3 linked regions of the Ovis aries genome follow. The protein of the gene in region 1 purifies or fractionates together with the protein of each later gene. This does not show direct contact. Links are inferred from orthologs where the notes say so. Each region holds a gene or a part of one and is shown on either strand. Other genes may lie near its edges.

Region 1 (3,650 bases):
CTGAATTGGGATAAATGAACCTTAGGTGAGAGAAGGGCTTTTAATCTAACATGCAGATGAAATGTGAAATGGTGGAAATGTATTTTCCACTTTAGTGGTGGTGAGTGAGTGTGGACAGTAGGCTTTAGGATTAGAGCAGCCTTATTTCTGTAAAAATTCATGGTCTATCTTTCTTCAGATGCCAAGGATCCTCCCTTATAAATCCTAACTTTTTCCCTTGAATTCTACTTATAGAATGTAAATCATTGCGGTCATAAATGTCTGGGCATTCATTGGTTTTTCGGCTTCTGGAGGTCTCTCAGGTTCAGAGGAGTAAGCTTGAGGCTAGAGAGAGTTGCCTGAAGCCTGGCTCCTGTAGAGACTTGGTGCCCCTGCTCTGGAGTGAGCCTCCTGCACCGTTCATCACTCCTCTTATAGTCTGTCGGTCTTTTCTCAGTATGTGAGGACTCCAGCTGCAGTGTGGCTCCATTTTGCCACTTTAGATTTGTCCTGCTGTCCCCAGTCTGACAGGTGACAATTGGGCAGTCAAATGTGCTTCACTTGTTCTGTGAGTTACCTTAAGACATAGTGAAAGATACATTCATCTGAACTGGATTATCCAGGAACTGCCTGATACGTTGCTGAATAACAGAACAAGGCAAGGCTCTATATGGGACGTTGTCATAGGAGCAGCTTATATAATGGTTACCTTGTACTTGTTCACTTTTAGAGGGAGAGGGGGCTTTTGGTGAACACAGGCTTCTGGCCATTGTTTTTTTTCTCCCTCTGTTGCCACTCCCACAGATTTGTAACTACTTTCCAGGAGTGGATGACAACTCTAGAATTTGTTGGGGCTTCCCTGGTAATTCAGTGGTTAGGATGCTGAGCTTCCATTGTGGCAAGGGACAGGTTTGATCCCTGGTCAGGGAACTAAGGTCTCATATGCCTCACAGTGTGGCCACAAAAAAACCCAGAATTTTCTTATGTTGAATATACTGTTTGCATTTGATTTTTCTTTTAACTTTTTGACAAAATTTCAGACTACTGAAAAATTGCAAAAATTCCCATGTATCTTTCATGCAGATTTCTTAAATATCCTTTTCTCTCTTTTATTTATATATACACACTTGTTATACATACAGATATGTATGTATGTGCTGATATATATTTCTTTTACTTAAGTGCTTGAAAGAATATCCCTAATTTCCTATATTTCCTAAAAACAAAAGCAATTTCTTACATAACTCAATGCCATGATCAGAAATCAAAAGTTAATATTGATGCATCTACAACCTCTGTTCTCATTTGCCAGTTGTCCTTGTAATGTTCTTTATAGCAAAGGAAAATCGCAGATCATGCGTTACATTCAGTTGTCATATTTTTTTTAATCTGGAGTACTTGTTTAGTCTGTGTGTTTCATGACATAAACATTTTTAAAGCTTGTAGACTACTTATTTTGTAGTATGTCCTTCTCTGGCTGTTTTCTGACCAAGTTTGTACTTGATGTTTGAGTGCCTCACTTTTCCAAAGTATTGAGTTCTGTAATTATGAAAAAGGGAAGTAGTAAAATTCCTAAGTGGAATGGAGAAAGAACCACAGTAGCCAGATCTGTTCTACTGAGAATGCTGACAGTGGAATGGGCGCGATTGTGGCAGCTGGCTTGGAAGAATGCAGCCAGACTCCAGCCTCTCAGTTGAGCGCCCTCCTACAGGTGATGCAGGTGCTCTGTGTTTTACAGTTCCTCTCTGGTTTGTGTTCAAAGCTGTAGCTTGGTGACCAGCAAGAGATGCTGGTTCCTCTGGCTTGTGTGTATCTTGTGTTTCACCCACCCCACTGCCACCGCCACCACGTGGACACGGTCTTTTCCATCTTTTCCATCACGGCTAACCCACGGGGCCGTCTTTGTCTTTGCCTGCGCTGCTGTAACAGTGTCTTGCTGGGGCAGTACTCCTTTTCCTAAGTTACAGTCCTCCCATGGCCACACTTGGGGAATGAAGGCACGGTGGCGAAGATTGAGGCCTGCAGATTTGAATCCTGCCCCTGCTCTTGACTGCTAGCTGTATGATCTTGGGCAAATAGCTCAACTTGGCTGAGTCTTCTACATAGGAATTTTGTGAGAATGAAACATGAAAATAATGGACATAACATCTATTGACTGCTTCCTGTATACTAGTTGCTGTTTAAGTACTTTATAAAGCATAATTGATTGTGATAATGCTTTTTTTTCTAGAGCTGCTTTAATTATTCTTCAGACTCTTTAGCCTATTCATGACAAGAAATAACATGCATAATGCTGACATTTTTGATTAAGGTTTCCGGTTTGCCTATCCAACAGATTGAAAGGTTAGTGGGTAGCAGGGGTTTTCAGTCACTGCTGTGTCAGAGATTGGTCTTTTCCTTTGCTGATCCATCATCTCTTCCTTTAGGAATGGGGTCTGTTGGGAAGTTTTACTGGCTCTGAGCTGATTTCAGAGTCTAGATATTAAGGAAATGGGAGTGGTGACAGGAAACGGGAGCCAGCAGCTGGGAAACAAGTTTGTAACTTGATGTCAGTGAACTGGTCTTCACTCCTAGAAGACAAAATTACATGCGACCCGTTGGAAGAGCAGGTGTCTTAGCAGTTTGTTTCCGTTTTTCCATTTATGAGTGCATGATAGACAGCTGTTAAGAGCTATAACGCTTTCCATTGGGCAGTTAACTAGTAAACATTTTATTTTTAAAGTATGACATAGGCATTCAAAATTTCATGTGTCCTAAATGTAACTACTTAAAAGATTTGACATGTAAGCTGTATGAGTCTGTGAATTATTTCATGTAATCTTAAAAATTCTTATGGGCAGGCTCCTCTTAAACCTCATTTTATTCCCCCATCTCTTCTAGTTTAGACATGCCCTTGTGCAAGATAGTGCAATAGCCATTTGATAGAAACAGTGTTTTAAAGTTTTATTTGTTAACTTCAAAAGGAGTCTTACTTCTCATTACTCTTGTATATTTAAGCCAGTGAAGAAAAAGAAGATAAAACGAGAGGTTAAGATTCTGGAGAACCTTCGTGGTGGAACAAATATCATTAAGCTGATTGACACTGTGAAGGACCCTGTGGTAGGTGCCTAGCTGTTGAAGGGGAGAGGTGGGGGGGTGGTGTGTGTGTGTGTGTATGAGAGACAGAGAACCTGAAAATAATGGGAAACATTGTTATAATATGCTGGGAATGATTGTGTTTGTCTTTACTACTAAAGGATTTGAAAACCAGAAAAAATCATGGTGGCCCAGTGATAAACTACCTACTACCACTTTTATGGAACCTTAAAGTATTTGTAGAAAAAAAATCCCTTTCCCAGTTTTATAGCCTCATTATTTTGATTCAGTCCACAAACGTTTGCTTCAAAGCTCCCTTATGCTCCTGCTTTTCTCCCAACTTAGAAAGCTTATTACTGCCAATTAACATTATTTTACCTCACTTAAGTAAGCCTGACATTTGAAAATCTGGGTTTACAGAAGGAGATAGGAAGTGTGGCCATGTGGACACTTCCTGTGGAGAACTGAACAGATCACAGACCCCTTGAGGTCACTATCTTGCTGTTTCTCATACTGGTCTTTAATTCCGCATCCACCATTAGGGCTCACATGGTATATGCAGATGCAGTTTAAATATTTTTATTAAAATGCTTAAT
Region 2 (3,650 bases), on another chromosome or scaffold:
AAATATTGGAGCTTCAGCTTCAGCAGCAGTCCTTCCAGTGACCCTTTTCTGACTCTTTCCCAGACACAGTATATAAGTAGCTCTCCATACTCCTCCTCACTGCCTTCCCATTCTTATTCTGACTGATCAGATCAATGAGCTCAGCCAGGTGCCTCCCCCGGTGATGCTGCTGCCAGATGACTTTAAGGCTAGCTCCAAGATCAAGGTCAACAATCACCTTTTCCACAGGTATGTGGGAATCCCTGCTCTTCTCTTGTCAGCCTTCCTAGAAAAGAGAAGAAATCATTTTAAGAGTTAAGGTTGAATGAGTTGAAAGTTTTAGATTTAGAAGGCAACTTACAAGTTCTTGTTTTATTGCTTAAACTTCTTCCCAATGCAGAAATTCAGTATTTTTTTTAAAGAAACCACTAAAATAATTTCCAGTGTTCCCTACACACTTGTCTATGTGTACTAGTTTGCCTCTCCTCTAGCTGAAAATTCCACAGCGTAAATACATTTAGTTGTCATTACCATCAGCTTCCGAGAGGTACTCCCCGAAAGAAATATCTCAATCCTATAAGCCCTCCTAGTATCAGAAGGTACCATTCAAAACCTATTGCTGATTTAAGGATGTCTCTGACTTTCTTGAGATTTGGGAAATGCTGCTGTTTGGATGGGCAGTAGATCCTGGCTCTACTTAAGCCACTTACCAGTCATGTGGTTTAAGCAGGTCACTCAGCCACCCTAAGCCAGTCTCCGTTTCTATAAAACGAGAATAGCACACTTATAAAAGACCTCATATGGCTTCTGTGAGAATCAAATAAGATAATATGTGTGAAGGTGTTTTATAAACTGTCAAGCCCGTTATAAATGTAAGATAATATTGTTACTTTGTTTTCTTATCTTGAAAACCCCTGTTGCAGGGAAAATCTGCCCAGTCATTTCAAGTTCAAGGAATATTGTCCCCAAGTCTTCAGGAACCTGCGTGATCGATTTGGTATTGATGACCAGGATTACTTGGTGAGTGTCCATTTTGGGGAAAGGGTAGGCCTTTCTCCCTAACAAGGGGAATCGGGACAGTAATGTTTGGAGAAATGAGGACCTTCACAGGTATTCTTTACCTTTTTGTGGTCATTAATATCTTGTGGTCAGGCATCTTCAAAAATCTGAAGAAAGGTATAAAGCCTGTCCTTGGGGAGAAATGTAGATGCATTAAAAATTTTGCTGCTCATTTCATTCAGTCTATATATGGACACTGGATTTAGAACTTGTTTTCATCCTCTCACGCCAAGGTTTTATCTACTTTCAGATGTGTTCAGTTGACCACTGTCCTATGCATCTATATATAAAGGGGGAGGAAAAGAGCTCCTAGCCCCTTCTGTGTCCCTAGGTATCTCTTACCCGAAGTCCCCCAACTGAAAGTGAAGGCAGTGATGGTCGCTTCCTTATCTCCTATGATCGGACTCTGGTCATCAAAGAAGTATCCAGTGAGGACATTGCTGACATGCATAGCAACCTGTCCAACTACCACCAGGTCAGACCTCTCTCAGCCTCATTCTTCCCGTTCCCTCCCTACTCGTAGCTCAGCTTCAGAGCACCTGGGAGACTTCCTGTCCCTCTTCCTCCCTATAGCCTATAGCACTCAACATCATTTTTTTTGAAAAACAATGCATTTCAAAAAGAGAGGCTTCGCATACCTATTTGTGTTTGATTAAATAAGAGTTTAGACATGTTCCTTCTCATTTGGTGCTTCTAATCTAAAGCCGCTGTGAATTGATAGATACAAAAAGGATACGTGAATAGCAAAGTATAAATTTCAGACTAACTTAGAATTAGACAAAGTGCCAACATCAAATGTACCATCAGGAATAAATGCAGTTTGGGGAGAAAACCACAGTGAGTATAGATTGGGATAGATTGGAGGGAAGAAGCCATGATCATAACCAGCCCTAAGAGAGATTAGGGAAGCTATTCTGTCTGAGCAGATGAATTTGGAATATGAAGTTTCTGGAATATTTTGGGAATAAAAAAGACCTGAATATCTTTCTACTGAAGGAAAATCTCATCCAAATCAATGCTGCTGCTGCTGCTGCTAAGTCACTTCAGTCGTGTCTGACTCTGTGCGACCCCATAGATGGAAACCCACCAGGCTCCCCGTCCCTGGGATTCTCCAGGCAAGAACACTGGAGTGGGTTGCCATTTCCTTCTCCAATGCATGAAAGTAAAAAGTGAAAGTGAAGTCGCTCAGTCATGTCTGACTCTTAGCGACCCCATGGAGTGCAGCCTACCAGGCTCCTCCGCCCATGAGATTTTCCAGGCAAGAGTACTAGCAAAAACAAAAGTGTTTTGGGTTATTCAACAGCTAACCCATGTCTGTTGTTATTAGGTCCTATGTCAGACAGTAAAGAAAGAGGTAAATGAAATGGCCGTGGCCGTTGAGGATCTCTTGTTCTAATGGCAGAGACTGGTAAGTTAGCATTAGTTAAACACACAGCACGATGTGTGCAGGCAGTGGAGATATGTAGGGAATGCTCTGGGTGGGTAGAGGAAGAGCATCCCAGCTCAGCCGGGGCAAGAGGTGCACCTGGTAGGCTCAAGGAGAGTTTTTAGAGGGAGTATCCTAGGAGTTGATTCATGCATGACTGGTAGGGACCAGGCATTGGACATGATGAAAGAGAGCACTCTAGGCAAAGGAAAGCAGCACTTGTAAAGGCACAGAGCCATGAATGAGCTTGATGTTGCGGAACTGCAAGAAATTCAACGTGACCAGGATGAGGTATTGTAGAAGGACAGTTAGGCAGGAGCCAGGTGGTGAGGGCTTTATAAGCCACACAGAGAGTTTGGGTTTTATCCTGAAAGGTTGTTTGCGGGGGAGTGATGTATATATCATTTAGAAATAGCCCTGTGTCAGAATGGATTATAGAGGGGAAGCACTGAGAGTGGAGGTACCAGTGAGGAGGTAAGTGTTACAGTCCAGGTGAGAAATGACGCGGGCCTGGAAGGGTGATGGTAGTGGAGGTGGAAAGGAAGACCTTTGGGAGAACTGCAGGAATTAAGGCAAAGGGGCTCCAAAGTCCTGGGAATTCCTGCCCAGTTGGGAAGCAGGAAAAGAAACAGGTCTTTGGAGGAAGACAGTTCTGATTTAGGCATGTTGAGTTTCTGGTTTCTACAGTTCATTGGGATACAGATGTCCTGTGAGTGGTTAGGGTATGCAATTCGGGAGAAAGAATCAGATCTCTTTCTAATTTTAGATTTCTTTCTAGTCTAGATTTCAGAGTTACAGGTGAGTAGATGGTACTTAGGAGAAGGCAATGGCACCCCACTCCAGTACTCTTGCCTGGAAAATCCCATGGACAGAGGAGCCTGGTAGGCTGCAGTCTGCAGGGTCTCTAAGAGTAGGACACGACTGAGCGACTTCACTTTCACTTTTCACTTTCATGCATTGGAGAAGGAAATGGCAACCCACTCCAGTGTTCTTGCCTGGAGAATCCCAGGGACGGGGGAGCCTGGTGGGCTGCCGTCTGTGGGATCGCACAGAGTCGGACACAACTGAAGCAACAGCAGCAGCAGCAGATGGTACTTAACACCATGAATATAGATAAGATTATGGAAATGTAGAGTGAAATAAGGTTGAGGACAGAACCTTGGGCAAGTAGAGTCCATAAAAGAGG
Region 3 (3,650 bases), about 28 Mb from region 1:
GTTCCTTTGTTGTTTGAATAGAGAGAACCTTCCTGAGATTCAGAATTGAAAAAGTTCCCAGGGCTGAGCTGTCGAACATCTTCAGCTGCTCCTTTCTCTTGGCGCCTCCGTTCCTCATCCCTGAAGAAAGGGTTCCCCAGGGTGCTTTTGAAGCCTTTGTAGTCGTCTGTTTACTCACCCCCTACACACACACAGGAGAGCTGCCACACTCGTGTTCTGTCCCTGCCTGAAGCCTGGCCACGCTGCTTGTTCCAGCTGCACCGCTGTCCCCTGGGAGCTGGGAGTGACAGGGGCTGGGAGCCCTGAGCGTACAGAGCTCAGGGAAAGGACCAGGACCCAGACACTGCCCAGGCTGGGGCGGGTGAAGAGGGGCGCAGGCAGGAGTCCTGGGCCACTCACTGGCCACCTCTGTCTGGTGGTGTCCCAAGCGTACAAAAAGGCGGAAAGAGGCTGCGTGTATAGTTCAGGACGTGGTTCACTGTTCCCCAAATGACACGCGCCTGCTTTCCTCCTCCTGGGGCTCCAGTATGGGGAGAGTGAGGAGCCGATGGGAGATGAGGACTACGACGACTACTCCAAGGAGCTGAGCCAGTACCGCCGGTCCAAGGACGGCCGAGGGCGAGGTGGGCCGGCGCTCCGAGGGCAAGGCGGCGGGGAGGGCGGGGGCTCCCCTGGCAGCTGCGGGGCTCAGGTCCTGGGCAGAGGCTGCGGATGGACGCCATCTCTCTCTTCTGCAGGGTTAAGTCGAGGCCGAGGCCGGGGTTCCCGAGGTCGAGGGAAAGGGATGGGCCGGGGACGCGGTCGAGGAGGCAGCCGAGGTGGGATGAACAAGGGCGGGATGAACGACGACGAAGACTTCTACGACGACGACATGGGCGTAAGTCGGTCCTCCGTCCCCTCGTGATGCTCTTACTCAAGGCTCCTCCTCGAAAATTTTTTTCTTTAAATGAGTTGTCTTCTGAGGCTGATCCCATCCCCTTGCTCCCATCAGCCGTTCCAGCGGGGAGCCTCTCAGCACTAATCAGCTCTCCTGGGTGATGTTCTTCAGGGGAGACCCTCTGTTTTTAAAGCCACATCTTTGTAGCACCTGCAGTCATCTGCTCTCTGAGTTCTTCAGGAAGGCGCCGCCTCAGAGCGGATGCGTTCCTGCTGGTGTGTGGCATGCGTGTTCTCAGCTCCGAGCAGTGGGGCTCTAAGCCACCCACCTGGGCCCCGGATGGAACTGGCTGGTCGGTGCCCTGTCAGCCCTGCCAGTCAGCCCCTCTCACCCTCACGGTCCACTCCACCTGGCCTGCACAGACCCTCCCCGCCCTTCCTTTTAATTCTCCTTTCCGTTCCCACTCTGTGTTCCCAACAGGATGGTGGCGGGAGCTACCGGAGGAGTGACCACGACAAGCCCCACCAGCAGTCCGACAAGAAAGGCAAAGTCATCTGCAAATACTTCGTGGAGGGGCGGTGCACATGGGTAAGGGCAGTCCCGGGGCCAGGGTGCCTGGAGCCGGGACACACGGGCCTCGCGGTCTCCTTTCTTTCTGGAGGCCACACTCTCTGGGGCAGTGTTTGGGTGGGCTTGGAGTGGTTGAAAAATGCATCAGGGGCCTGGAAATGATTGAAGAGCCAGGACGAGATTGGTGACATACCTGTGTTATTTTGGTTGGGGGGATTTTTTAGCCAAAATTTTCACCCAATCCACGGAGCCTCAGATGTTCTGTTGGACCTGTCGCTAATGCAAAGGTGTGACGTAGCCTGGTCGAGTTAGTGAACTTTAATGTTGGAGAGGGAGTCATCAAGGCCGAAGAGGTGGGAGTGGGAAGGGATCAGGCCCGCCTCGACCTTCACAGCAGAGTGTTATGCCAAGAGACATGCCAGTGAGCTCAGGGTCCTGAAGGAAACAAGTACAATCCAGTGTTAGTTCAGCCACAGATTCAGATTCAGTCAGTGGGCAGATATTGGCCAACATGTTCCCAGGGAATACTGTACCTATGTATCTGTGTCAGGGAAAAATGTTACTATGTTTCAAGCAAAGGTTGGCACATCACCCGTGCATACATAGTTTTCCTTGTTCAGAGTTACAATTCATGCCATTTTAGAAACTTGAAATACATACAAACAAAAATAAATAGCTATTAGGAAGAGAAAGAGGGCCCAGGTATTCAAGTTTCTTTCTTCTGTTCACCTGGATATTGTTGTTTGGATTGTACAGTTTGCAAATAGCCGAAAGCTCAGTTCCACTGGCTGAAACCCATAGACGTTTGTCTCTCAGAACAGAGTGTGGGAATTCCCGGGCTGTCCAATCCTAACAGGACTCGGTGCTTCCACTGCAGCAGGCACGGGTTCGATGCCTGGTTGGGGAACTGAGATCCTGTGTGCCATGTCAAATGACCAAAAAATAAAAAGATCAGAGTCTGGGAGTGGGCACTACAGGGCAGGTACAGTGATGAATAACACCATGGGAGACCCAGGTTCCTTCCTAGTTCTTCTGCTGGCATCTTCAAGCATGTGGCTTTCGTCCTCATGGTTGCTTAGTGGTTGCTGTGCCGTCACATCTAGGGCTGAGAGGAAGAAAACTGGGAAGGAATTGTTGGGGAAAAAAATGCCTTGGCAGCATTGTCTTCCCTGGGACTTTATGTACATCTCATTGGGCAGAACTGCATAGGAAGCTGGGAAATAGAGTAATTTTAACCCCAGCTTGGGGTTCTGTTAGGAAGAAGGAAGAGTGAAACTGAACACTGGCTGTTATGCAGAAAGCAGTACGTGGGTAAGAGGGGGGGAGGCAGGAGGAGGGGTTAGAAGCAGTGGAGGCAGCAGAGTGGCGGGGGTGGGGTAGCTGAGGACAAGGGGGAGGGGGCACGGGCAGGAGAAAGGGGCACAGGCTTTGGCAGAAGTTTCAGGCTGGTGGGAAACTGCATTATGGGTCAGAATAAATGCCAGGGGCTGTGTGGAGGGGACTGTTCATTTTTGTCATCGGTCCCTCTGTGCTTCCCCAGTGACAGAGTAGTACTTCCTTGGTGAACAGCTTACCTTTGACTGGTTCTCTTCCAGGGAGACCACTGTAATTTTAGCCACGACATCGAGCTACCAAAGAAGCGAGAACTGTGCAAGTTTTACATCACTGGGTTTTGTGCCCGAGCCGAGAACTGCCCCTACATGCATGATATCCTTTGGTGCCCGCCTTCGAGCGCATGGAGGGTGTAGACCTTTTCTCCTTACTGGTGTTAACAGCTGGCCTTCACCGCACTCCATTTGTGCACCGAGGAGGTGCCGAGAGCCCTCTGCCCGTCTCCATCTCTTTCAGCCGTCACCTTTGCCCTGCGACAGGTCTGCTCTTGCCATTCTGCAGATGAGTAAACTGAGGCACGCATGTTATGTGTTCCCCATACATACACAGTTGACCCCTGAGCGGCGTGGGTTTGAACTCTGCAGGTCCACTCATGTGGGTTGTTTTTGGTAGTAAATACCACAGTACTGCAGGATCTGCAGTTGGTTGTATCTTAAGACACAAAAATCTGAGTATAATTTATATATAATCTATCCTCCGTATTCTTGGTACAGATGGAAAACCGAGGGTGTGGAGGACAGATTATAAATTATACTCCTGTATTTGACTGGGCAGAGGGTTAGTGCCCCAACCCCCATGTCATTCAAGGATC

What was found.
Region 2: the proteins of CSNK2A2 (region 1) and PIP4K2C purify together in Homo sapiens (affinity purification with mass spectrometry; 3 studies listed by BioGRID and IntAct, with this or other methods). This does not show direct contact. The link is inferred for Ovis aries from reciprocal best matches to the Homo sapiens genes CSNK2A2 and PIP4K2C.
Region 3: the proteins of CSNK2A2 (region 1) and ZC3H4 purify together in Homo sapiens (affinity purification with mass spectrometry; 3 studies listed by BioGRID and IntAct, with this or other methods). This does not show direct contact. The link is inferred for Ovis aries from reciprocal best matches to the Homo sapiens genes CSNK2A2 and ZC3H4.

The regions. Positions count from the first base shown.
Region 1 is NC_056067.1:25,628,531-25,632,180, reverse strand, and holds part of CSNK2A2 (casein kinase II subunit alpha'), read left to right. Parts: intron 1-2,976; coding exon 2,977-3,078; intron 3,079-3,650.
Region 2 is NC_056056.1:162,070,407-162,074,056, reverse strand, and holds part of PIP4K2C (phosphatidylinositol 5-phosphate 4-kinase type-2 gamma), read left to right. Parts: intron 1-130; coding exon 131-228; intron 229-902; coding exon 903-999; intron 1,000-1,369; coding exon 1,370-1,513; intron 1,514-3,650. UniProt on the Homo sapiens protein: Phosphatidylinositol 5-phosphate 4-kinase with low enzymatic activity. May be a GTP sensor, has higher GTP-dependent kinase activity than ATP-dependent kinase activity. PIP4Ks negatively regulate insulin signaling through a catalytic-independent mechanism.
Region 3 is NC_056067.1:53,896,075-53,899,724, reverse strand, and holds part of ZC3H4 (zinc finger CCCH domain-containing protein 4), read left to right. Parts: intron 1-526; coding exon 527-623; intron 624-737; coding exon 738-877; intron 878-1,357; coding exon 1,358-1,465; intron 1,466-3,042; coding exon 3,043-3,154; intron 3,155-3,650. UniProt on the Homo sapiens protein: RNA-binding protein that suppresses transcription of long non-coding RNAs (lncRNAs). LncRNAs are defined as transcripts more than 200 nucleotides that are not translated into protein.